Drosophila melanogaster: one gene and its partners. Each later gene encodes a partner of the first gene's protein in a complex. Each region holds a gene or a part of one and is shown in the gene's direction. Other genes may lie near its edges.

The links.
Region 2: wda (region 1) and Sgf29 share a complex: the UniProt entries of both Drosophila melanogaster proteins name them as parts of the spt-Ada-Gcn5 acetyltransferase (SAGA) complex.
Region 3: wda (region 1) and Spt3 share a complex: the UniProt entries of both Drosophila melanogaster proteins name them as parts of the spt-Ada-Gcn5 acetyltransferase (SAGA) complex.
Region 4: wda (region 1) and Saf6 share a complex: the UniProt entries of both Drosophila melanogaster proteins name them as parts of the spt-Ada-Gcn5 acetyltransferase (SAGA) complex.

The regions. Positions count from the first base shown.
Region 1 is NT_033777.3:23,253,659-23,260,255, reverse strand, and holds wda (will decrease acetylation), read left to right. Parts: upstream 1-2,168; 5' UTR 2,169-2,256; coding exon 2,257-2,415; intron 2,416-2,475; coding exon 2,476-3,770; intron 3,771-3,847; coding exon 3,848-4,148; intron 4,149-4,208; coding exon 4,209-4,555; intron 4,556-4,632; coding exon 4,633-4,762; 3' UTR 4,763-5,186; downstream 5,187-6,597. Other genes in the region: Pex11c (peroxin 11c), read right to left, coding at 1-35, 95-154, 215-579, 1,275-1,346; EloA (elongin A), read right to left, coding at 5,808-5,887, 5,947-6,238, 6,304-6,503, 6,561-6,597. UniProt on the Drosophila melanogaster protein: Component of the transcription regulatory complex SAGA, a multiprotein complex that activates transcription by remodeling chromatin and mediating histone acetylation and deubiquitination. The SAGA complex predominantly acetylates histone H3.
Region 2 is NT_033778.4:21,291,069-21,295,928, reverse strand, and holds Sgf29 (SAGA-associated factor 29kDa), read left to right. Parts: upstream 1-2,282; 5' UTR 2,283-2,432; intron 2,433-2,487; exon of another isoform or gene 2,488-2,514; 5' UTR 2,515-2,569; coding exon 2,570-2,608; intron 2,609-2,663; coding exon 2,664-2,892; intron 2,893-2,944; coding exon 2,945-3,102; intron 3,103-3,171; coding exon 3,172-3,615; 3' UTR 3,616-3,690; downstream 3,691-4,860. Other genes in the region: CG9752 (uncharacterized protein), read left to right, coding at 407-662, 719-1,494; RpL29 (ribosomal protein L29), read right to left, coding at 1,570-1,698, 1,768-1,869; CG30392 (uncharacterized protein), read left to right, coding at 3,845-4,002, 4,070-4,287, 4,348-4,643. UniProt on the Drosophila melanogaster protein: Component of both the SAGA and CHAT histone acetyltransferase complexes, which both predominantly acetylate histone H3.
Region 3 is NT_033777.3:12,014,865-12,020,031, forward strand, and holds Spt3 (Spt3), read left to right. Parts: upstream 1-2,291; 5' UTR 2,292-2,361; coding exon 2,362-3,516; 3' UTR 3,517-3,686; downstream 3,687-5,167. Other genes in the region: DCAF12 (DDB1 and CUL4 associated factor 12), read right to left, coding at 383-535, 600-1,004, 1,064-1,618, 1,688-1,954. UniProt on the Drosophila melanogaster protein: Component of the transcription regulatory complex SAGA, a multiprotein complex that activates transcription by remodeling chromatin and mediating histone acetylation and deubiquitination. The SAGA complex predominantly acetylates histone H3.
Region 4 is NT_033779.5:811,523-817,983, reverse strand, and holds Saf6 (SAGA factor-like TAF6), read left to right. Parts: upstream 1-2,033; 5' UTR 2,034-2,152; coding exon 2,153-2,509; intron 2,510-2,562; coding exon 2,563-2,709; intron 2,710-2,762; coding exon 2,763-3,741; intron 3,742-3,799; coding exon 3,800-4,033; intron 4,034-4,090; coding exon 4,091-4,527; 3' UTR 4,528-4,670; downstream 4,671-6,461. Other genes in the region: CG15880 (uncharacterized protein), read left to right, coding at 86-740, 802-938; Pex12 (peroxin 12), read right to left, coding at 1,008-1,901; Dbp21E2 (DEAD box protein 21E2), read right to left, coding at 4,673-5,422, 5,488-6,348. UniProt on the Drosophila melanogaster protein: Component of the transcription regulatory complex SAGA, a multiprotein complex that activates transcription by remodeling chromatin and mediating histone acetylation and deubiquitination. The SAGA complex predominantly acetylates histone H3.

The DNA.
Region 1 (6,597 bases):
CCAGGCGGTGCTTGGTCAACGTTTTCACATCCAATCTATGGATTTGGAAGGTTTGTTAGCTTTTATTGGATGTTTTCGGCTGACGACCACTTACTCGTTTATATTATTCGTTCGGTTCAGCTTTTCCTGATTCAGTGAAAAATTCCGCATTGTCCTAGAAGATGCAATTTAATTTGAAAATTCAAAGCTGACGATTCGAATAATTCTTCTGTACCTCATGAGGTTCAGGTACACCGAAAGCACCCAGAATATGGAGTTGACATTGTCCCAGTTATCCGCATTCTTGACATCCACAATCTTGTGCTCGGCCAGCCAGCACACCTTCTCGATGGGATAGTAGAGCAAATCCACAATGTTGGCCGTCACTCCCAGCACTTGCATGACGCGATCGGGCTCATTCTCGCCCAAGCCATACTCCAAAGCATATTGGATCATGGGTATGTCGTCGATGAGACGCAGTGTGGCTCTCGCACCTGAGATCCTTGAGCTGGCGGTGGCGTATCGCTTGGCTAGTTCCGGATTCCGCTTGGCATGGTAGCCAGCCACCAGTTTGGCACTGTAGCACAATGCCTTCATCACCTGAAATAGGTATTTAATTTCATATATGTAATAATTGTTCTGCGCAATTCGTTAAGCCGTGTGTTTGCTCTATCACGAGAGTTGGCATCGCTGTTTACCTTTGCCTCTACCTGACCCCAATCGCCAGTCAGCCCTGCAATTTGTGGAATTGCTTGGTTGTCACAAACAGATAAAATACTATCAGCGATAAAAAGAATACAACGAATGCCACAATCATCTCGTGTGATGGCCGCCAGTGGAGTGCTCCTGGTCGTCCGTCCTGGCCGGAATGAGTTGTGGGTGGTTTCATTGTTTACCCATTAATGGTTCAGTTTGCTTGCTTTGCCATCAATGAATTAGTTATGCAATTCGGAGGAATACTAATGTCGCTATACGACTAATTTATGTAAATATCCTATAGTATTTCCAAAGTTCGTGACCACCCCATTCGCTGTTTACAGCCACATAATATATTATATTATATTTTCAAATGGTTATCAAGTATAACAAATTATTTGTTCTAATTAATAAATCTAAAATACTTTGAACAATATTTTATCGTATTCAAGGTTCGATTTTTCTATTAAAATAGAGATACACTATACAAGATTCCCTCTTTGTCTGCACTGTATACACCCCTTGTAGGGGTATATAAACTCGCGATGGTGGAAATGTGTGGATCGCGTGTCTCCTGATGGGCGGCAGTCCAAACAAACCTTTCGTTCATAACGAATTATCCGCTTTATCTGGTAGCGGCTTAAAGGTTTGCCGGCTATAGTATTGAGCATTATCTTGACTCGATCGCCGCCGAACTGCGACTGATAAGCGAAAAGCGAAATACAAAATCCATTGCGAATCAGAAAGAAGTAAGGCAAGGTCCAAACTGCTGTGGCTTCCTTGTTCGAGACCCAAAGACCAATGCCAACATCGATGCAGCAACAACATGGAAACCTGTTGGTTCAGTTTCGATTTCAAGCGAGCCCCTCAATGGACCAGTCCAAAAAGGAAATAGAAACCAGTCAAAATGCCACGATGCATTTTTTTAAATTTGCGCATACGAATTGGGAAAAACACTCGGTTCAAACGTAAACAAACAGGTGTGTTTTCAATTAATTGGAAATTTACTCGGCTGTGCGGCTCTTCTATGTTACCTTATCTCGCCCGCCATAGGAATCGATAATATCACAGAACTCGTTCACAAACTTTGTCGTGGTGCCCATAATGGCTCGTTTTTTGAAGACCAGGTACTGTTTTATATCACGTAAAAACTCGAACTGAGATACCGCAGCGAAAATACAAGAAATTGTCAAGAGCGCTCGGGAATCCAACAACACAAACAGCTGACTTTCTTCAGTGGTGACAATAGCCAAATAAACTAGCTAAGAATAGAGAATATAATAGAGCTAAAAATAAAAAGCTAGTTAATATAAATAAAATATAATATAAATATAAGTTAAAAATGTAAAAATAAATTTAAAATTAAAATATTTCAATATCAATATTGTTATAAAAGAGAAGCCAAATAGCCATCACTGACGAAAACAATTTTGAAAGAACAGCTGTTGCAGCCGCTTAAAATCGATGAATGCACATCGATAGGACAACCCATCTCCGCTGTCAGCACTATAATCGAACGCATATCGGACGCACTGCAGGACGGGATCAGGATACGGAACAAAGCGAGGCTAACACGCAACGATGAGCCTGCCCAGCGCCAGCAACCACGCACATGCTGCATCGCCCGTCTACAGCAACAGCAATAACAACAAGTCGAGCGCGAGCAGCAAAAAGACCTCCTCCAAAAACGATTTGCTACGCTGCGCCGTGGGACTCCTGCTGAAGCAGAAAAACTACGTGGTAAGTGAATAATCTTCAAATATACAATTCCTCAGAGTGTTCAAATATTCAAACCCGTAGAGCAACGAACGATTTCGGCGGTCGGATTTTTTGCTGCTGCAAAACAAACAGCAGTTTGCTGTCAACAAAATGCTGGATACGGATTTGCACGGTGGCAATAGCTTCACCTTTTCAAATGTCCAGGTTATCACCAACAACCAGCACACTGTGGACCAGCAATTTGGTCGGTTTTCGCAGTTCGTGGAGGCCCAGGCCGAACCGCTGCGTCTGGAAATGAAGCGCTTTTATGGACCCATGCTGTGCCACTTCTATCTGGATCTGCTCAAGGCTCGCGAACCGCGTGGCGCTGTGGAGTTGTTGCGCAAATATGCTCACTTGGTGGCCCCCGTGGATATGTACGATGCACCACCACCTACCAAGATCAACGGATGCTCCACTACGGCCAATGAGTCCACTTTTAACATACGCTTCGCAAAGGAAGCCCAGGACACTGGGGACACGGAACTGGACTACTTTATGCGCCTGGTGCAAACCCTGAGTGGCTACACACGGCTGGAGGCAGCAGAGTCCGATGACACAGTGGCCCATTTTCGATCTTCGAAATACGAACTACATACTACAGCCGTAGTTGTTAATAGGATATGCGCTTATCTCCAACGACGGGGCCACGTTTTAATTATGAACCTACTCTACACCTGGTTGCATGTCCATATAGTGGAGAATGAGCAGCGCGCCTTTAGTGAGGATCACCTGCTTGGCTTGACGGATGACCTGGAAGGTGAGGATGGAGAGGACGATGTTGTTTCCAAACCAGCAGTAACCCTTAATACCCGCGGAGACATAAGACCAAGCAAATCCCTCACTGAAAAGTCGAACCGAAAACGACCCGCTGAGGAGCCAAACATTATGCTAGAAACAGACATCAAACAGGAGGTAGAAACGGATGAATCTGCAGAGCTTAGTAAATTACAACTGAATATAGACGCCTGCTTGGACACCCTTAAATCGGCCACTGAACAGATACTCAAGTCTCAGGTGGAGTTGCCGCGATTTCTCAGAATCAGTGAACGTTCTCGGGGCCTCACCTCCGCCCATCTGGATCCCAGTGAGTGCCACATGTTAGCCGGGTTCGACAATTCTGCCGTACAGCTGTGGCAGTTAAACCAGAGCTACTGCCGCGGCAAGAGCTTCTACAGACGCTATCCGCAAAAGCGGTGTCCCTGGGAGCTGAACAATTGCGCGAATCAAGAGGAGGAGACGGATGAGGACAGCAGCGATGAGGATGTCAAGTGCTCTGAGGAGGAGAGACGGGAACGCAACAGGGCGCGACATTGCAAATATGCTGATAACTCCTAGTAAGTTCATCTTCCAGGTTTAGTATTGGTTTTATTTTTCAATTTTTAATCAACTAAAGTTTTTTTTTTCTAATTAGCAACGAATACGGCGGATTTCAGCTGCGAGGTCACACAAAAGGAGTCACCGATGTGCGCTTCTCCGCCCACTACCCACTCATGTATAGTGTGTCCAAAGACGCAACCATGCGGTGCTGGCGTGCCCACAACCTGCATTGCGCCGCCATATACAGAAGTCACAACTACCCAATTTGGTGCTTGGACGAAAGTCCAGTGGGCCAATACGTGGTAACGGGTTCCAAGGATTTGAGTGCGCGCCTCTGGTCGCTAGAGAAGGAACATGCGCTCATAATTTATGCCGGGCATACACAGGATGTTGAGGTTGGTTTAACCAAAAATGTCTTTGAACTTTTAGTTATATATATTTTTTTTTTCTGACAGTGCGTTGCGTTCCATCCGAATGGCAACTACATAGCCACAGGATCGGCAGATCACTCCGTTCGCCTGTGGTGTGCAACCAGCGGAAAATTGATGCGTGTCTTTGCCGACTGCCGTCAGGCGGTGACCCAGCTGGCGTTTAGCCCAGATGGAAAGATGTTGGCTGCCGCCGGAGAGGAAACGAAGGTGCGTATATTCGACTTGGCCGCCGGAGCACAGCTGGCTGAGCTCAAGGATCACTCGGCGAGCATTAGTTCTCTTTCCTGGAGCACGCACAATAGGCACCTGGCCACAGCGTGCAGCGATGGTACCTTGCGATTGTGGGACATCAAGAAACTATCGCCCATGAGGTTAGTTATATTTGTGGAATGGAAACGGAGCAATTTGTTAATATTGGTAATGATGATTTATTTTGGTTGCTCCACAGTGACAACAGTAGTGCTGGAAGCTCATCATCAGCTACAACGAATCGTGTGCTTACTGTCAATAGTTCCTGCCAGCGCTTGGTCGATGTTTTTTACGGGACCAGCAAGACGCTCTACTGCATCGGCACTTAAAGAAGACGGTTGAAAGTTCAGCCCGAATTTAGACTTTCTAGTGACGACTTATGTTTGAAAATAATTTATTTTGTAATAAGTTGTATATTATTGTTACTATCGTGTGAAACAATTCTTTATATAAATAATTCTTTTGATTTAACAATCCTGGTAGCTTTCTTGTGGAATAAAACGAGTTGGTTACAGTGTAATGCCTTTACCTGCATCGTCTACTGGTCACAGCTAAAGAATGTCTTTCAAAACGAAGTCATGGCATAAGTAATGAGTGGCCAATTTCCACAAAAGTTGAAAAATGTGTAACTATTAAAAATAAGACGAGCATTCGAATCGAATTTCAATTGTTGAAGTGATTTTTTTTAATATATTAACATTTTACCCAATACCTAAAAATGTGCAAAACTAAATAAATCTAAAGGTAATATAGAATTTTTTGGTTGAATTTAATTAGCGATGCATTAAGAGACATTTTACTGTTCTTCAATAATTTAGGTAGTTTCATATAGGTTTAGGATTGTGTAAATACATTTATATACAGCTTGGAACCTCTATGATTTTGGACATACGCACAGCCCTTTTGAACAAAGAACATTGAACTTAATTTTTAAATAATGTTGGAGTGATCAGCCTTCTGATCGTAAGTTACATGCAATCAATGAATTGAACAACTATAATCAAATATCATAACTTATGTAAATGAGCTTGTCTACGACCCAGCGGGATGCAACAAAAGCTTTATCTTTATCCGGTTGGCTTAAATATAGTGACTTATACAGCGTAATAAAAGAGGGCAGAACATGAATAAATAATAAATAGCATGCATATGCTACGCATGCCGACAGCAGCAGTCTGATTCCACAGCGCACTGGGAAGTAGAAGGTCTAGTATCACAATGTCACTTTATTCAGACCTGAAAGTCTTTGCCAATAAAGTTGGAAGGTAATCCCACCGTGAATGCCTAATAGATCGAGGTTGCTGCTACTGCTGCTGCTTAAGTTGTCGCTGAAGAAGTTGAGTATAAGATTGTAGCTATAATGAGTAAGCGCATCTATCGTTTGAGACGTCCGCGCATAAACTGCAAGGTCTTCGCCATTAGAGGTGCCTTCTTCGATCGCGCTGGTCCAGCCCCTTTTCAATAAAAATTATAGGTAAATTTAATTCTTAACCACAATCATTACAATACTTACCCACTTGGGCCGTGTCCCTGGCAGCGGCCAGCACACGTAGTCGGGCATCGCCCACCTTGGCTGCATTTGGAGTCACGCTGGACAAGGCGGCCACTCGGGCGGCTGGAGTGGCAATTAGCTTGCCCTTGGTGCCATATTGCTCTTGCTTGCGCTGCACACTACGCGGCGGCTTCACCATTGAGTCCACAAAGGCCAATTGCGTCTTGCGCACAGGCGCCTCGCTTATCTTTTGCGATGCCTTGATGCTCTCGGCCAGAATGCTAAGTTTGCGATCCTTTTCCTCTTGGCAGCGCTAGAACGAAATTTTTGTGTCAGCTTAGTTTAGTTTGCATTAATTTAGGGTCTTTGCGTCCCTACCAAAAACATTTCGCGCCACGTTTCCATCTCTTCACGCCGCTGACTGCGACAGTGACGTTGGACATGCTGTTGCCATAGGACATCACTGTCATCCATTAAATAAGGATTGTACTCCTCAAAGTTAAGCAGCTGCTGGGGGGTAGCTCGCTCCAAAACGGGACGTAGGACCTCAAACGGAACGCCACCCGTATACTCCAATGCTGAAAAACAATTAAGATGGTTATTTACATTCGATATGACCATTAGTAAGATCTTACCATCAATATTCTTTTGCAGCACGCGGGTGCAGAGATC
Region 2 (4,860 bases), on another chromosome or scaffold:
ATTAAATATTTCCTGGGCATTCACAAACAACAAAGCCACACAAAAACAAATTGATGACTTTTTGTTTAAGCAATCAACGGCACTGTACGCGTTCTCTTTTTTGTACGCACTTCACTTTTAGAACATTACACAATCAGTTAGAAAAAACTGGCGGCTAGTTGGTGACCCACTATTGCCATTTAACTATTATTTGCTTATTTTATTCCGCGAGCAACGAGCGAAATTCGCAGCTCCTTCATGTGTTATTTCAGCGCTGCCACCGGGCCGAAACTGTTCTGGCGTGTCTGCAGCCCTGGTGGCGTTACCAGACTACTTACCATCCCGAATCTCCTAAATAAACCAAAACGCCTGTTACAGCGCCAAAAGTCGCGACATCTTAATTAAAAACATTAATAAAATTGTTAAAATGTCCAGCAGCAAACTAAGTCCCCGGGAATCTGGAGCCTATATCGTAGAAAATGCCAAGCATGTTCGTATTCTGCCTGCAGGCATTGAGAAACTGACCCAGGAAATCGTAAAAGGCCTAATAGAAAAACGCATTGCTGTGGAAAACTTCTCGCAGCACGAATTACATCCCAATCCAAATCAGCCGGAGGATTATTCCAAAGCAGCCGACTGGGTCTTTGTGTTGGACACCCTGAACTTTTGCTTTTGGACCCCCAGTGAGTAATTGATATTTATAGCAGCATCCACTATCTTCAATGGTAATCTTCCGCAGATAACTACACCAAATATAAGGTCGATGGCTATACCGGCTACTTTGCGCTGTGTGCTGCGATTAAGAGAGCCATCAAGGAAGGCGTGGATGTGATCAATCCCAAGTTCTATTCCCAGATTGATCTGAAAACCGTGGAGAACATTTTCCGCTCTGACGATGGCGAGACAGTGATTCCGCTGCTCCAAAAGCGTCTGGAATCGCTCCATGAAGTGGGAAAAGTTCTGATCGACAAGTACGACGGCAGTTTTGAGAATGTTATCAAGAAGGCGGAGAAATCGGCAGTTCGCTTGCTGGATCTCGTTGTGGAGGAGTTTCCCTGTTTTCGCGATGAGGCTGAGTTTGCTGGAAAGCGAGTTTCCATCCTAAAACGAGCGCAAATCCTAGTGGGCGATGTGTGGTCCTGCTACAGAGGTCAGGGACTTGGGTTCTTTAATGACATCGATCAGATAACCATGTTCGCTGACTACCGAATTCCCCAGGTGCTAGTGCACTTCGGCAGTTTGGAGTACACCAGTGAGCTAATGGAGTTCCTAAAGACGGATACTATTCTGGAGAACGGCGATCCCCGAGAGGTGGAGATACGCGGCGCATCTATATACATCATCGAACAAGTTAGGGATGCTGTGGTGAAGATACTCAAGGAGCAGCACCCCGAAATCTCACTGGACAACGTCAACTCCATTGTGATCGACCAATATCTGTGGGACTACCGGCGTCGGCACAATGCCGACCTGGAGCACATTCCCTTCCACAAGGTGCTGAGCATCTACTACTAACGACGGCAACACAAATAAAGACGGTTCTTTGTTAAACTGAATTGTCCTTTAATTATCCACACGCGGGGCAATCATCTACAGAGTAACAGGCTTTGGCTTGCCCTTCTGGGAAGCGATGCGCTCGTTGTAGCGCTTCACGGACTCCTCGCGGGAAAGGTTTCCCTTGCGTGCGTAGCGCTGGTTGATCAGAAATTTCACATCCATCTAAAGACGGGAAGGTTGTTAAAATCAACTCTAGATGCTAACTAAATATGCATATTTTTGAATACTTACACCCAGAGTGGACTCGTGGCGTTTGCGCAGCGGGCGCTTGATGCCATTACGATGGGCCTTCTTGTTCTGGTTGTGATTTGTGTGGTTCTTGGACTTGGCCATCTTAAACTACTCCGGGTATCCAAAGATTCGTTGATGGGGCGGCACATGAAAACAGAAAAAATGTTCGCCATTATAATTTTAGCTTGGGGTTAACACTTGGAGTTCACTTTTAGCCAACGCCAGTTGAACAAAAAGCCAACAACTGTTGAAATTTTCGTTGCATTTCTCGTGTATTAGGCACCTACGTTTTTCGCACACTGGAATTCCTAGCTGCAATTGAAGATATTATAAATAAAAATAGCCAATTGGAAAAACGCGGAGCACACTTACGGAAACGCGATGGAAAAGAAGGGAAAGCCAGAGAGGCTGTCATAGAGCGCAGAAAAGGGACTAAATAACGCCAACCACGTGAAGATATCGTGCTGTTATCTGCGTGCTGTTAGGCGCACTTGCTTCCATCTCCAATGTAAGAAACGTAAACAACTTTGAAAAGTAAATATTCGAGTTTGAGAAAAAGATCCACTAAAGTCAAATAATGAGATTATACGGTACAAAAATCTTAACAATAATTACTCTGTTTTACTCTGTAAAATAAAATTTGCTAAGATTAAAAAAATACTGAGGTAAAATATAAAACTATCGCATAGTTAATACTAACGCGTTGTCGACTTTACGCTTATGCTTGTTTTTGTTTTCATTGCGTAGGTAAACAAAGTGTTCAAAAAACAAATTTATTATATTGTTATAATATCGAAACAACATGCCACTGACTGCGGAGAGTGCCGCCCAACAGATTCAGGTAAAGATGTTAACAATAAATGTCGATATATACTATATTTATATGGCATTTACAGGATCGCCTGAAGGACATTCAACAAAACATTCACAATGTGGACGAGGAGCGTCGTCGTGCGGAAAACTCCATTGCTAGTCTGGTGCGATCTCTGCACGCCACCAATCAGAAGGTTAAGCCCCTGCTCAAGGCCAGTTTAACGGAGGCTGCGCAGGAGGAGGCCACAATCCGAGCCGCACTGGCGAAAATCCACGAGATTCGAAGCATTCGCAATGAGAGGCGCATCCAAGGTGGGTTAGTGATGGGATGTATAAACAGGATTTAATCTCGCATATTCCACAGCTCGCAACGCTGGAAATAAGGAGGCCATTCGACGGGGCGCCCTTATGAAAATGGTGCAGCTCTCAGCGCAAACGTTGCCGTTATTCGTTGGCAAACTAGGAGAACGAGCACCAGCTCTATGTGGAGCCATTCCCGCCGAGGGGAACTATGTGGCCAAGGTAAGCATTCATTTTGATTGGACAAAGAAGCTGGGATGATGATCTGACTAATCGGACGCCACTGTATAGGTTGGCGACAATGTTGCCGCATTAGCTAAGGGAATTGATGAGGAGGAGAACTGGATCCTGGCGGAAGTGGTGCAGTTCCTTCACCGTCAAAACAAATACGACGTAATTGACATTGACGAGGAGCAAAAGGATCGCCATGTGCTGAGCAAGCGAAAGGTCATCCCACTGCCTCTAATGCGTGCAAATCCTGAGACCGATGGTCACGCCCTCTTCCCCAAGGACACAGTGGTAATGGCGCTATATCCACAGACCACCTGTTTCTACAAGGCCATTGTCCATCGCCTGCCGCAAACCGCCACCGAGGATTACGAGGTGCTATTCGAGGATTCATCGTACACGAATGGCTATGCCGAACCCTTGCCGGTCGCACAGCGCTATGTGATTGCATATCGTCCAACGAAAAAGGGGGCTGGCAGTGGCAGCGGGAATCTATCATCAGCATAAAAAATGTATTATCTTAACTTTAAGAATTAAATGTAATTGTAATAATAGCTCCAATTAAAATTGTATTCAATTCACAATAGACTGGTTTCTGTCTGGAATAAGAAGAAAGTAATTTCAGGGTGGTATTTTAATACCGGATTTTTTGGAGAACGGTTACATTGATTTCCTAAAAAAAATAAATAGACTTTAAAGTTTGTAGGAAAACAAAGGGGAAAGGCAGGCTTATAAGATGAGTAAAACGAGCTTAGCGACGCAGACCAATGGCACGGCGGAAAATGGAAACTGTTTTGATATCCTCAAAGTGTCTAATTTGTTCGAAACCAGCCTTCTGGACGAGGATGACGTACAATTAGACGCATACTTGGCAGCCTACGAGGAAATAATGAAGTAAACTGAGTGATTATGATGTTTATGTTTTTTAGTGGTGCTCTATTGGGCTTTCGGTGTTCATTAGGTTCTTCCAGCTCATGGGCAGTGTCTTCAGTTTTGTCAGCAGCGATGTGCGCAGTAAAATAGATATCTTATACGCCCTGAGAGCCAAGGACGCGGAGGAGCAGGAACACTTTAATACCTTCAGAACCATGCTGGATTACGAGAAGGAGGCCCAGTTGCTTACTCAGAAGGGTTACGTGTCTGGCAGTCGAACGCTGCTACGTCTTCATCGCGGTCTTGGTGAGCGTTATGCGCATATAACTGCCACAGTGGCTAATTGATTGGTTTCTTCTTATCTAGACTTTGTCTACGAGTTTCTCAATCGGATCCAGGCGATACCCGACGACCAAAAGACTGTGGACGTGTGCAAGGAGGCCTACGATGACACCCTGGGCAAGCATCACTCATTCCTCATCCGCAAAGGAGCGCGCCTGGCTATGTACGCGATGCCCACTAGGGGAGATCTTCTCAAGAAAGTGTGCTCCGATGTCGAGGCGGCCAAAGAGAACCTGCCTTCCATGCTGAAGCATATGAGAACCAACTACGATCGCACAGAAGACCTCTACACGCTATACGATCTACACAGCCTGCCTTAGAATCCATACATACATAATCCATATCTATACATCTGGGGCATTCAAAAGATCTGATAGAGTGATAAATACCAAAGTTTCCCTACTTTACCCTAGCCAGAAAAGATGCCTATAATATGATATTATACCATACTTTTATAATATGCTTTTGTACTGTATCTAACTCTCTATCAGATCTGGTGTCTACCCCGGCGTAGATTATGTAGCTAAAATTTTCTGT
Region 3 (5,167 bases), about 11 Mb from region 1:
TTTTTCAATGGTTTGTTTAATTTGAAATTCTATTACCATATAGATCAGACTATAAATCAGATGCATTGTCTATAAATTAGTATTCCATTATTTGTATTGTATGTACTATATATAAATAGGATCGGTATTTATGCTTACATTTACACTTTTAAACGGTGTATATTGTTTACACACAATATAAAATATCATTAACATAAATCTTACATAAATTTCATTAAAACCAAAAGTGAGTAATCAAGTTAAATAAAAATTCTGTCTTGGCGGAATACATATGCAGGTGAACGATTTGAATCGAAATGCGCCAAAAGATTAAAGATCACAAGTCGAATAACTACTTAAATACTAATCAGTATTGTGAGCCCGGATCGGATCCTATGCCAATCTATTGCCAAACGCCCGCATAGTTGCCCACCAAAGTCGCCGGCAGTGGTCCTCCTGCAGCGAAGAGGCGCATCCTAGTGCTGTCATAGCAGTGGGTGTAGATGGCGGGCACATACTTCACCTGCTGGAAGCCATCCATCTCATCCTCCGGATACTGAAATGTACAAAACAGTTAGGTGAATTGGTGTATTTTGTGGAACTGTAACCTCTTCACTTACCACAATTCCTTTGCTGCACTTGAGTGCGACTGTGCGCGAGGCATTCACACTGCTCTCCAAATACTTTCCGGCTCGAATGTCGTAGAATAGGAGCATGCCCAGACCCGTGCCAACGGTGAGCAGGTTACCTTCGAACGAAGTCGCCCGTATACCGCAGCCACTGTATCGAGATGTGATCTTCTTAATGGTTTGAAGGGTTCGGGCGTCCAAAAGGATGGTATAGGAACGGCATCCAACGGCATAAAGGCCGTCGCTGTGGTAGGCGATGCTCACGTTGTCCTGGCAGTTTGGCAGCTTTCGTGAGAGTGTCTGCTTGAAGGTCTCCGCATTGAAGATGTGAATGTATCCGTTCAGCGAGAGGGCGGCGATCTCCTTAAACTCCTTGTTGAAGCAAAGAGATCGAATCTGTAAAAGATCTTATTGATAAAATGGTTCTTTGATTTGATTTGCATTCATAAGCTCACCCTCTGGGCAGTGCGAACTTCCTTGACACTAAGGGGGTGGATGGTTGCGAATGTGGGACACGCTTCCTCGCCGCCATCTGGAAACTCCATGTGATCCTCGTTGATGCGCCACAGAGCCATGCGCGAGTCCTTCGATCCGGACACAAGAAACTGGTCATCCAGCCAGCACATGCCCATTATAAGGTCGCGGTGCCCACCCTCGCCCACACAGACGGGATCCAGCGTAGGCAGTCGGTAAACAGCAATATCGGAGGAGTTGCGCGCACCGGTGGCTAGGAAGGATCGGCTGGGCGACAGCTCGATGGCATGCAGGCCACCCTGGACCTCAGGATGGTTTGCCCGGCTATTTGAGAGCGTTGGGATGGCGTCCACCCGGCGCATGTTCACATCGTAGACGAGCAGTTTATTGCACTTGGTCCCGAAAACCACTTGTCGACTGCTCAGCCACTTGGAGCAGAAGACCTTGTTGATGTAGCCCAGACTAATCTGCGTCTCGCGCAGCATGTCGTGGGTTAGCACATAGCGGCTGGTGTACTCCACATTGACACTGCGACGCTGCAGAGGATGGTGGGACAAAGTTCACGTTAGCAATGCAAGTGGTGCGACTTCACAACATATACCCACATCTCGGAGTCCACTCTCCCGGCTGCGCAGGTAGTCGCACAGGTTGTAGGATGTGTTCAGGACCTCCTCCTGCTGTTGGGGCGTCTCCTCGTCGCTGCCGGAATCCTCGTAAGTAACAAAGTCGTCTGGTTTGTCCGGTTTTCGTCTACGCTCCTGTCGCATCGCCCGCTGCTTGGCCCTGCGCTCCTCCAGCCGCGAGGATACGTGGCAGGACGGATAGGTGCCCACGACGCTGTCGCGGATGGTTCTCACCATCCCGTTGAACATCTTAAGGTAATTGTTTAATCCGATTTGTTGTCTTTTGCTTTACGGGTTATCATCCGCAAACAAAAATGGTGGTGCGTAGACTACAGTGGAACTACTGGTTCGGAACTGAAGTTTGCTGAACCGATTGTTTTGCATTTAATGCAGAGATACAAATTAAGGGAAATAAAAATACAAGTGTTGACATTTTTCTATTTGGCACAATACTCGGCCGCTCTGGTTACCTGAATATATATATATATATAATAATATATATATAATATACAGTATTTATATAAAGTCGGATGTCGCACAAATGCGTTACACTATCGTTCATCCCTAACGATAGGCCATCGCTTTCACAAAGGGTTTTATCTATTCTCACGAAATCAGCTGTTGCGATTGAAGTGGTGACTTTGTTTGTAAATAAAATGAACTACAACGCCAAGCGAGTAATGCGACAGAACTCGGTTTGCGTGGGTTCCAACGACATGGCAGCGTCGCCGATAATGATTGGACCTGCCCCGCCCTCGGCGCCCAGCACGCCGCAACTGCAGACCACCGAGGACATCAAGCCACTGCTTGTGCAGCGCCAAGTGATTCTGCTGCAAAGTGGAAGCATACCGACGAATCCCTCGCCACAGCAGATCAACCTAGCTGGACATAATGTAGCCGGTGGTGCCAGCGGGAGCAACGTTGCCAACGTTCTCATTCCGGATGATGCACCTGTCTCACTGCTCACAGAGATTGCGGATATCATGCGAAGCTTCGGCGACAGCGATCAGCCCAGGACGGGAAGTGTCAAGCTGGTGGAGCAGATCCTGCAGCAGCAGCTGCGCGGCATCTTCAATGAGGCTTCGCTGGTGGCCATGCGGCGGAAACAGAATCCCTGCCCGTCGCAGGCGGACTTTGAGTTCCTGATGCGCAACCATCCGGTGAAGATAGCTCGGATGCGAAAGCACCTCAAGGATATGCGCATACTCAAAAGGTTCCTTAGTATCCGCACGGGAAGGCCGCAGGACTTCATGGACGACTTGGAGCAGCAGGAGGAGGACGAGGAGCTGGCCATCGATGTGTACGAGCTACACGACGAGGACCGAATGCGAAGATTATTCCGCGCAGATCGGATATCGCAGATCCTTACGGGCCAGCAATACCTGGAGTTCAATGAGGCGCGCAAGACGTCATTCTACTGCCGCCATGGGGAGAAGATCAAGAACAAGTTCCGCCGCTTTCTGGACCTGCCCGCGGACCTTCGCATCCCAACGCCGACAATGAACATTTTGGCCTATCTGGCGCATGAGACCATTGCCGCCATTGTCGACTATTCGATCCTGACGCGCCTGAACTCGGACAACCGTGCGACCGAGCCCTACAGCCGAGTGACCTCCGCCGGAGGCAGTCCGGCTATGATGCACGTCTGTCCGGAGGTCACACAGGGTCGCGGCATGGAGGTGGTCAAGCCAATCAGTGTACCGGAGATCCACGAGGCCATGCGCCGTTTCCGGCAAATGAGCAGCCGTAAGATTGGGCGGTATCGCAACTCTTGCGACATCGATTTCCGGCGCAGTTTTCTAGCCATTTAAGTTTTAATGATCTTAATATCCTCGCCTATTTTTATTTGCGTCAATTATTGATTTTATTCACAAAAAATAGACTGTACAATTAATTCATTTAAAGTAATTCAATCCCCAACAATTAACGCGCTCTACATTTTAATTATACAAATTATAAAATAAAGCAATTTTGGCTCGTTAAAAAAGTTTTTTCCTGAGAGGTCAAGAACAACTAGGCATATTCATTAATTCAATTTGCCTGTGGCACATATCCTGGCCTTTGAGGCTGCGACTAAAAGACAGAAAAACGCACTCCAATTACGGACGGGTGAATCTGCCTCGCATGGAGCCGATAAATTGAAGCGGTAAACGAAGTTGAAACTGGCACCGACAGATAAATAAAAGCGCAATAAAGAAATTTGCCGACAGGCGCACTCGCACGTGTGCCACACAGACGGAGCGAAGGAGAAGGACCAGCAAGGATGCCGCAGGATTGCAGGAGAGACTGCAGCATAAGGCATTAAGAGAAGCAACTCGCGAACGCACTTAATAATCAACTTCCTGTTGTGCATATAAATGTGTGTGACACGCATAGCAACGAAGGGTAAAGGGGTTAAAATTCATTCCGCAGTTATGGGTGGCGGGTTTCATTCTGTCTTTTGCCGTGAATTGAAAAGGATTAAGAATTATTGCTCAATGTCACTTGAACTTTTAATATATGTACATATGTGCAATTGTGGTCATGATTGTATAGCAAAGGCAAAATCCAAATCTTTTCCAAAAACCTTTTTAAAATAACTTTTAAAAACCATTTATTTGAAATTTTTCTTATTCCTATCACCCGCTTGTTTATCTGATAACATGCGGTCCGAAATTTGACTTAAAATCGATGCACCTTTAAAGGTATCCTCTTGTTATTTTCTTCGGTGGGATATCCTAGTTTAATCGGATCTTAATGTTGATTGCTCTGTGCTGCAGATGTAATTCCAACGGCCCATTATTCTTAATCGATTGCTCATACGCCTAACGAGCGCCGGAACGCAGTCGATAGCTCCTCGATGGCCAGTTAATGAAAACAAGCTGGCTGTGACGAAATTAAGCCAACAACTTGTTTCCATTCCAGCATCGTCCTTGTGATTTTTTTCCTTGACCCCGCGCACTGCTCCCCACACTTCTCCACACTCACTGTTAATGTTTCCAAATTTGCATTTCATGCGGCTCTTCGCTTCGTCCCCAACAGGACCATCATCATCAGGTCCGTGGAGCTCGTCGTCGCGTCGTCATTTCTTCGTATTGTCAAGTCACGTAGCCAATTTCCAGGCCGCGTAAAGTCAATATGCCCCAATCCCTTGTAGCCGAGTTGCCTTAAACTTCTCTTAAAGGGAAGGCCCTCATATTATACGTATGTATGTAAATATGCCTCTATACCTTAATTTCTTGAATAATTTAGAATACAGAATTAATTATCCTTCGAAAGATACTGTTTTGAAAGATACTGTTTTCTAAACTTTTCTAACAATGATAGTTAAATAGAATTACACTATGTAAACAGAAAATCATAGCATGAATATTGAAAATTTTTATTCAAAATTGACTTATGTTTAAGAACATGTTTGCTGAGCGGCTAATTAAGTAAAGCTTTTAATTTCTCTAACTTGCCACAAAGAGTGTGCAGTTGAGA
Region 4 (6,461 bases), on another chromosome or scaffold:
GTTCGAGTGCCTCACTTTGTCTGGAGGGATAACAGAAAGTGTAAGATTGTCTGACCGACTTGTCCTAGGATTAACCTGCTCTTAAATGCTGCACTTTGTGGAGGATCAAGCCAAGCTGTTGCCCAGCTCCATCAAGGATTTGCAGGCGAGGCGGCATTTCCGCATCCCAGTTGGTCCGATTCTCGCACTGGGGCTTCTGCAATTGCCCGTCTGCATGGTGTACAACCTGGTGATGGCCATCACCACGGACTTCCAGTCCACCACGTATACCACCTGTAATGCCTTCAACATCTTTCCCTCCACATCGGCGGCTGCCAAGTCTCAGCACAAAGTGTGGGCTCTGGCTTGCTACCTGGAGTTCCCATTTCTCATTGCCAGTGCATGGCTGCAGTTCCGATTCTATCGGAGGAATCTGCGCAGGCCGGTCCGAGGTTTCGGCTGCCTGATGGCCATCATTATGGCTGTCAGTAGTTCCAGCGTACTGCTATGGGGCACCTTCCCCCAAGAGGATGGCGACTCATTGCTGCACATAACCATCGCCTTGTCGCTATTCGTATCGTGTGCCATTTACATGGCAGGTTCCTTTGTGTGCGCCAAGTACTATATGAGCGATAGGATTGGGCAGCTGCATGAGGAATTCTCCTTGCGGTTGAAGAGCGGTCTGGTGCTCACCTACTACGTCTGGGTGGTGGTCATGTGGATTTTTTACTTTATACACCAGAAGTTTTGCTTTCCCTTGGGTGAGTAGAACCTAACCGAATGGAAGGATGTCTACAATTCTAATCCCCGGATCCTCTGCAGCCTACTCCGTATTCGGTATGGGCGAGTTCATCTCCTGTGAGTGCTTCTTTATCTATCTATGCACGGTCTACTTTGACTTCTACCACGTCTACATATGTTACGACCAACGTTTGGGTTTCTTCCTCAGCGAGATGTAAACAGTTCCCAATTCCTTATAAAATGTATTAAACAAAAACAAGCAAAAAACATAAAAGGAATGCTTAACGTTACGTCTCGTAGATGCGCACCAGGTCGTCCAGACTGATGGGATAGTGGGTGACCGGGCAGGTGCCGTGCTCCTTCATGTGGCTAACGATGCACTTCCAGCAAAAGACGTAGCCGGAAACGGAGCAGGCAGTGGGCGTCTGGATGGACAGCAGGCAGACTGGGCACTCTCCCCGCTGGGGAAGGCTCTGCTGCACTTCCTTGGGCAGCTGCTTTCTCGGCATCGCTTCGGGATTTATCAGAGTTCCACCCACTTTCCGCCGCTGGTCGTTGGAGTACCACCACTGGACGAACTGCAGGAAGAAGGCCAAGACCTCCAGCATCTTTAGGACCACGTAGGTCCACTGATCCTCTTTGGGAGGTTCGCTGGGATAGCGAAGGGTCAGCCCCAACAATCTGAAGATGGGCGAGTGGTTTGAGGCGTACTTTACGAGGTAAAAGAATGTGTGCGCCGCCTTGGCGGCATGGAAAGCATGGAATGCGCTTAGAAGGCGTTGCTCCCAGGGACTGGTGTCCTCGTGCCTGGTGATCCTGGTCCTTAGCTTCCGCTCCACGTAAGGCATGAAGGTTAGCAGTGTGGCAGAGGCGAACTGCTGCCTGCGGTTCAGCAGATCCCCAGTGGTTGTGACCGTCCTTTGCAATCCGTAAAAGCTCTCACCGAAAGAGGAGGCCCTCTTGCGCAGATACAGGTACTGCAGCAGCCAAGTCAGCAATGGCGACAGCTCCTCCTGAATCCTCAAACTCCCCCATAGTTTAAAGTCCAGGCGTAGTCCAAAGTAGTCGAATATCTTGCTCAGTGCCGGGTAAATCAGGTTGTCCAGCGTCTCTGACGCTGAAATTTCGAAGATCGACGGCACATTTTGAAGGTTCTGGCGCACATTTGCCGCTTCTGCCATTGTGTTTATAGCATTTAAATAAATGGAATTAAATTCGAATACCAATTATGTTGTTATTCTTATCAGTACTGGTGTTATCGGGCTTGGCTTGAAAACAGTCGAGTGCTCATCAATATATCGATAAGTCGTTGGCACCATCGATAGTTGGGTTAATAATCTGGCAAGATTTGTTTATTTTGTGGTGCAGCTTCGTTGTTTATTTACCAACTGTTGAAAATATATACATTTATGAATTATACAAAACCAAGAAGATGAAAACCTCTGGCGCCAGCAATACTGACGAGCTGAACAAGTCATCGCACAGCAAAGTCAGCAAAAAGTCCACTAAGTCGCGATCTAAGTCGGCGAAATTGGAGTTGACTGGAAAGAATTCCCTGTCGGCATCCGCATCATCCTCCATCGCATCCGCAGTGAGCGGGGGCGTTGCAGTGGGCAGCCTGCCGGCCACGCCCACTCACCTAAACATGGTGACAACGCCCACCACGCCAACATCTAGTCTGGGTAACTACAATCTGTTTGACGCCTCATTTGCGGTAGCAGGAAGTGGTGGGCACGGACTTGCAGGCGGCATCGCGGGCGCAGAAGCCTCTGGCAACTCCAGTCGAATGGTAAGGATGCCAATCTCAGGGCCCTCTTATGGTACAAGCTCTCTTTACTGTAGGGTCATCAGAAGAGCTATGCTGGTTTCGATCCGCGCAGCATCAAGATCTTTTGGGAGCAGCACGACCAGACCGATGTGGAACTCTCCCAGGATGTGTGCGCCCGTTTGGCGGAAGATGCCTCCTACAAAGTCTGGGAGCTGATCAATGTAAGTCGACCGTAATACACCTCTTTAATCCCTCTAACCTCTTGATCTCTCAGAATGTCAAAATATACTCGCGCCACTCGGGCGGAGTGGTGACATACGACCTGGTGAACGAAGTGCTAAAAGATGCCGATGTGCCGCCTATGCTGGGTGCGATGGACAGCGACTGGGACCGGATCGACTATGACGGCAGTTTTTACTTTCACTCGGATAAGATCTTCGAGCTGAGCGCGGAGTTTCAGAAGGAAGTCAATCTGTGCACACCTGATGATGCAGACTTTCAGAGCATCTGCCCAGTGGAGGATAAGCACATGGACCAACTAAGACAGTGTGTCCAGAGTCTTGTGACGGCAGCCCTTTTTGCGGACAGCAAATCCCAGACGGCCGCCGTCTGCCATGCTTTTCAGACACCCCTGATGGGATCTATCTACCGAGTGATTGTGAGTAAGATGGTCCAGTTGCTAGCCTTTAAGCAGCAGGACCATTTGAGCCAGCGATGCTGGCGACTGCTCCGAGCATGCAACTACAACGCCACTGCTAATCACAATGCCTGCCGGCCGGAGTACTTCAACCTGGCCGAGGTACTGGTCAGCCAGCTAATGGCACCTTACGAAACTATCAAAGCTCCACACGTCGACCCAGATCCGGGACAAACCACCTCCATCAAAATGGAGTTTGAAGAAGAACTAAAGGTTGAGCCAGACCAGTGCCATAATCCGGAAACCCAGGAAAATCCGGAGGTCATGGGAGTAGAGAAACAGGAGCAAGAACCCCAGATGTTTCCGGGTGAGAGCACCATGGAACACACAATCTACAAGCTGCAATCGGAGGAGGAGGAATTGAATCCTCAGCCGGAGGCGGAACACCTATCCAGCTACTTTGCCTGTCCAGTCGGCAATGGCCTGGTGGACGAGCTGTGTGAAACTATAGGACAGCTGGCATCTCAAAGTGGTTACCTACATGCAGAGTGCCTGTTTTTGATCAAGAGACGCCTAGCGAGATTCTTCGAAGGTCGCCACGTCAGCAGTGAGAGAGGTAAATCATCCTTACAATTTGTTAGCCTGGATCCTTATCTTTGGATTTCTTAATTAAGACTTTAGGTATATCAGTAGAGCAGTGCGCGGTCTCATTGCCCTGGGAGAATATGCCTTTCGTGAGTTTATTCCCTACATCTACAAACTGCGCGTCGAGGAAATCCCGGATAGCCTGTGGCCGGATCTGGCTCCGGCTGCCATCTTCCTTGGCGGTCATGATGACGTATACCTGTATGAATGGCTGGAGTACGGATGCGGTGCTGCTCTGCAGCCCTTCTTGGTCCACTATGCGCGTAAGAAACACCCATGTGTTCCATGAAAAGCGGTTAAGTAACTAAAAATCATTGCAGGAGCCTACGAAAAGATGGTAACCAGACGGTATGTGAAGGCCAAACAACCCGCTTACAGAATAGAATCAGTGCCGGGAGTGCGTCGGTTGGAATGGAGTACTCTTGCGGCAGCCATGTGCCACGGAGACGATCCTAGCAAGGCACTCAAACCGAAGCCTACGCTCTGCGAGGCTTTCCCCGACCTTCAGTCACCAAATCTTCAGCTCAACTGCGCGGGCAACATCCGCTTTAAGTTTGCAGGATGCCGCCCGGTGCTGCTGAAGCCGAAGGTTGCGACTGTTCCCCACTCCGAAGACTCGCCTTCGTCGGCAGCGAACGGTGGTGGGGGTGGCGGTGCCAGCTCCGACATCCTGATCGCCAAACGAAAACTCTTTAAGCCCCTGACCAACGTGAGAAAGTGGTCGCCCATCAGTGGCTATCACTACCTAAGGATCTGAAAGGGACTTGGGAAAGTATTATAAGACCTTCTGGAGGTCCAGGAGGACCTGGGGATCTCAATAAAACTCTTCGTTTACTTTAGACTTCCTCTTCGGTCTTCCGAAAGGTGATACAACTTTACTCGTAATACATAAAAACACAGAACTAAAAGGCTTCTTCCTGAGGCGTATGTCCATTTAGTGAGCCCAAAGCGGGCACGGGCATTCCTGCAGCTTTCATCTCCGCCACAATCCGCTTGTTGATAATGTTTCGGATGTTGGCATTCACATCCGGCAGAAGTCCACCTGTTCGAGCTGCGTGCTCAATTCGCTGGACGACGTCGATTTCGCGGCGCGATGATATCAGGTTCGTGACTAGCGCCTTGTCCATGTTGCCCACCCGACCGATCCTGCCACAACGATGGATATAATCGGAGACGTGGAGCGGAAAGTCAAAGTTGACCACATGTCGAGCTCGTGTGGTATCCAGGCCACGACTTCCCACATCGGTGGTGGAAAGGACGTCGCAGTGACCGTTTTGGAACTGCTCGAAGCGGCCAAGACGGATCTTCATCAGCATATCCCCATTCAGATTTAAGCAGTTCACTCCGCTGTTGTTCAGGAAGATGGAAACGAAGTCACTGGTGGTGGACTTGTTGCTGAACACGATAAGAGGGCGACGTTTGGCAAGATCATGCTTCACGAGTGACAGAAGTGTGGCGGGCCGATCGGCCTTCGACAGCCGCAGGAACTTCTGCGTCACATGAGACATCAGTCGGTGCAGGTGCGGACTGACGACCTCACGGATGGTGTCCACGTCTATGACTTTGTGAAGGATCTCTCTGGTGTTCGTGGGCATGGTGGCCGAGGCCAGGATCATCTGGGTGCCAGCATCCTCCTTTTGCACCAAGTGGAACTGTCGAATAAGAAAAAACAAGCTGATTGAAGCCATTCCTTTGGTAATCGCCTAGAATGACTTACGGGAAATCTCCTGAGGAAGTAGGAAAGTTTGTCTGTGAACGTATCATCTAGGAGGGTGTCCGCTTCGTCTAGAACCAGATGACGAACCTGCTCCATGCGGTAGATGCCAGTGGTCACCAGTTTGCTAAGTGCACCCAGAGTGGCGACCAGTATGTCCACCTCCTCGAACTGTGGGTTCATCATAAGCTGCTTGGTATTGCCGCCAAGTAAAGATTGCACTTTGAGATTGGTGCCCTGGGTGAGCTTCTCCGTGACCCCAGCAATCTGCGTGGCTAGTTCTCTGCCGGGAGTGAGGATCAAGACACGGGGGGTGTTGAGTTTTCGTTCGGTGACCACTTCTTTCTGGAGGAGTTTGTCTACGATAGGCAGGAGATATGTAATTGTTTTTCCACACCCAGTTTCAGCGGCAATGAGGCAGTGCTCATTTCCATGGACAACGGGCATTCCCTGTTTTTGGATTCCCGTCAGTAATTTGATGCCCAGCTCGACTCGCAAGTTCTCAAGGAGTTGCGGATGAATCTGCATCCCCGTGCTCTCGAGGAACTCATCGACGGTCTGCATTTCCTGCTGGAGTTCCTCACCTCGCACGCTGGCGTTCAGGATGAAGAAGTCTCCCTTGGATTTGTTGTGCAGCCAGCCCTTGGAGGCCAGCGAAAGACTCCCAAACTTGGCATCCGTCTGCTCGTATTGGGTTAAATCGAACTGGCTTCTTCTGCAGGAGATTAGGGGCTCCCCCTTCTGCTTTTTGCCCTTGGACTTTGCCTTTGGTGGCTTCGTCTTAACTGCCGCCGCCGCCGCTGTGGCATATGAAGCCACATGGCGCGATGATTGCACCCGGAGCACCACGGACAAGTTCAGCATGCTTTCGGAATATTATTCAATGTTTTTCATTTGCCGGCAAGTCAGCTGTGCACACGCATCGAAGTGTTGGAAAGCGCCGCTCGAATTCAATGCCACTTGTGGCGGTAAGTTTG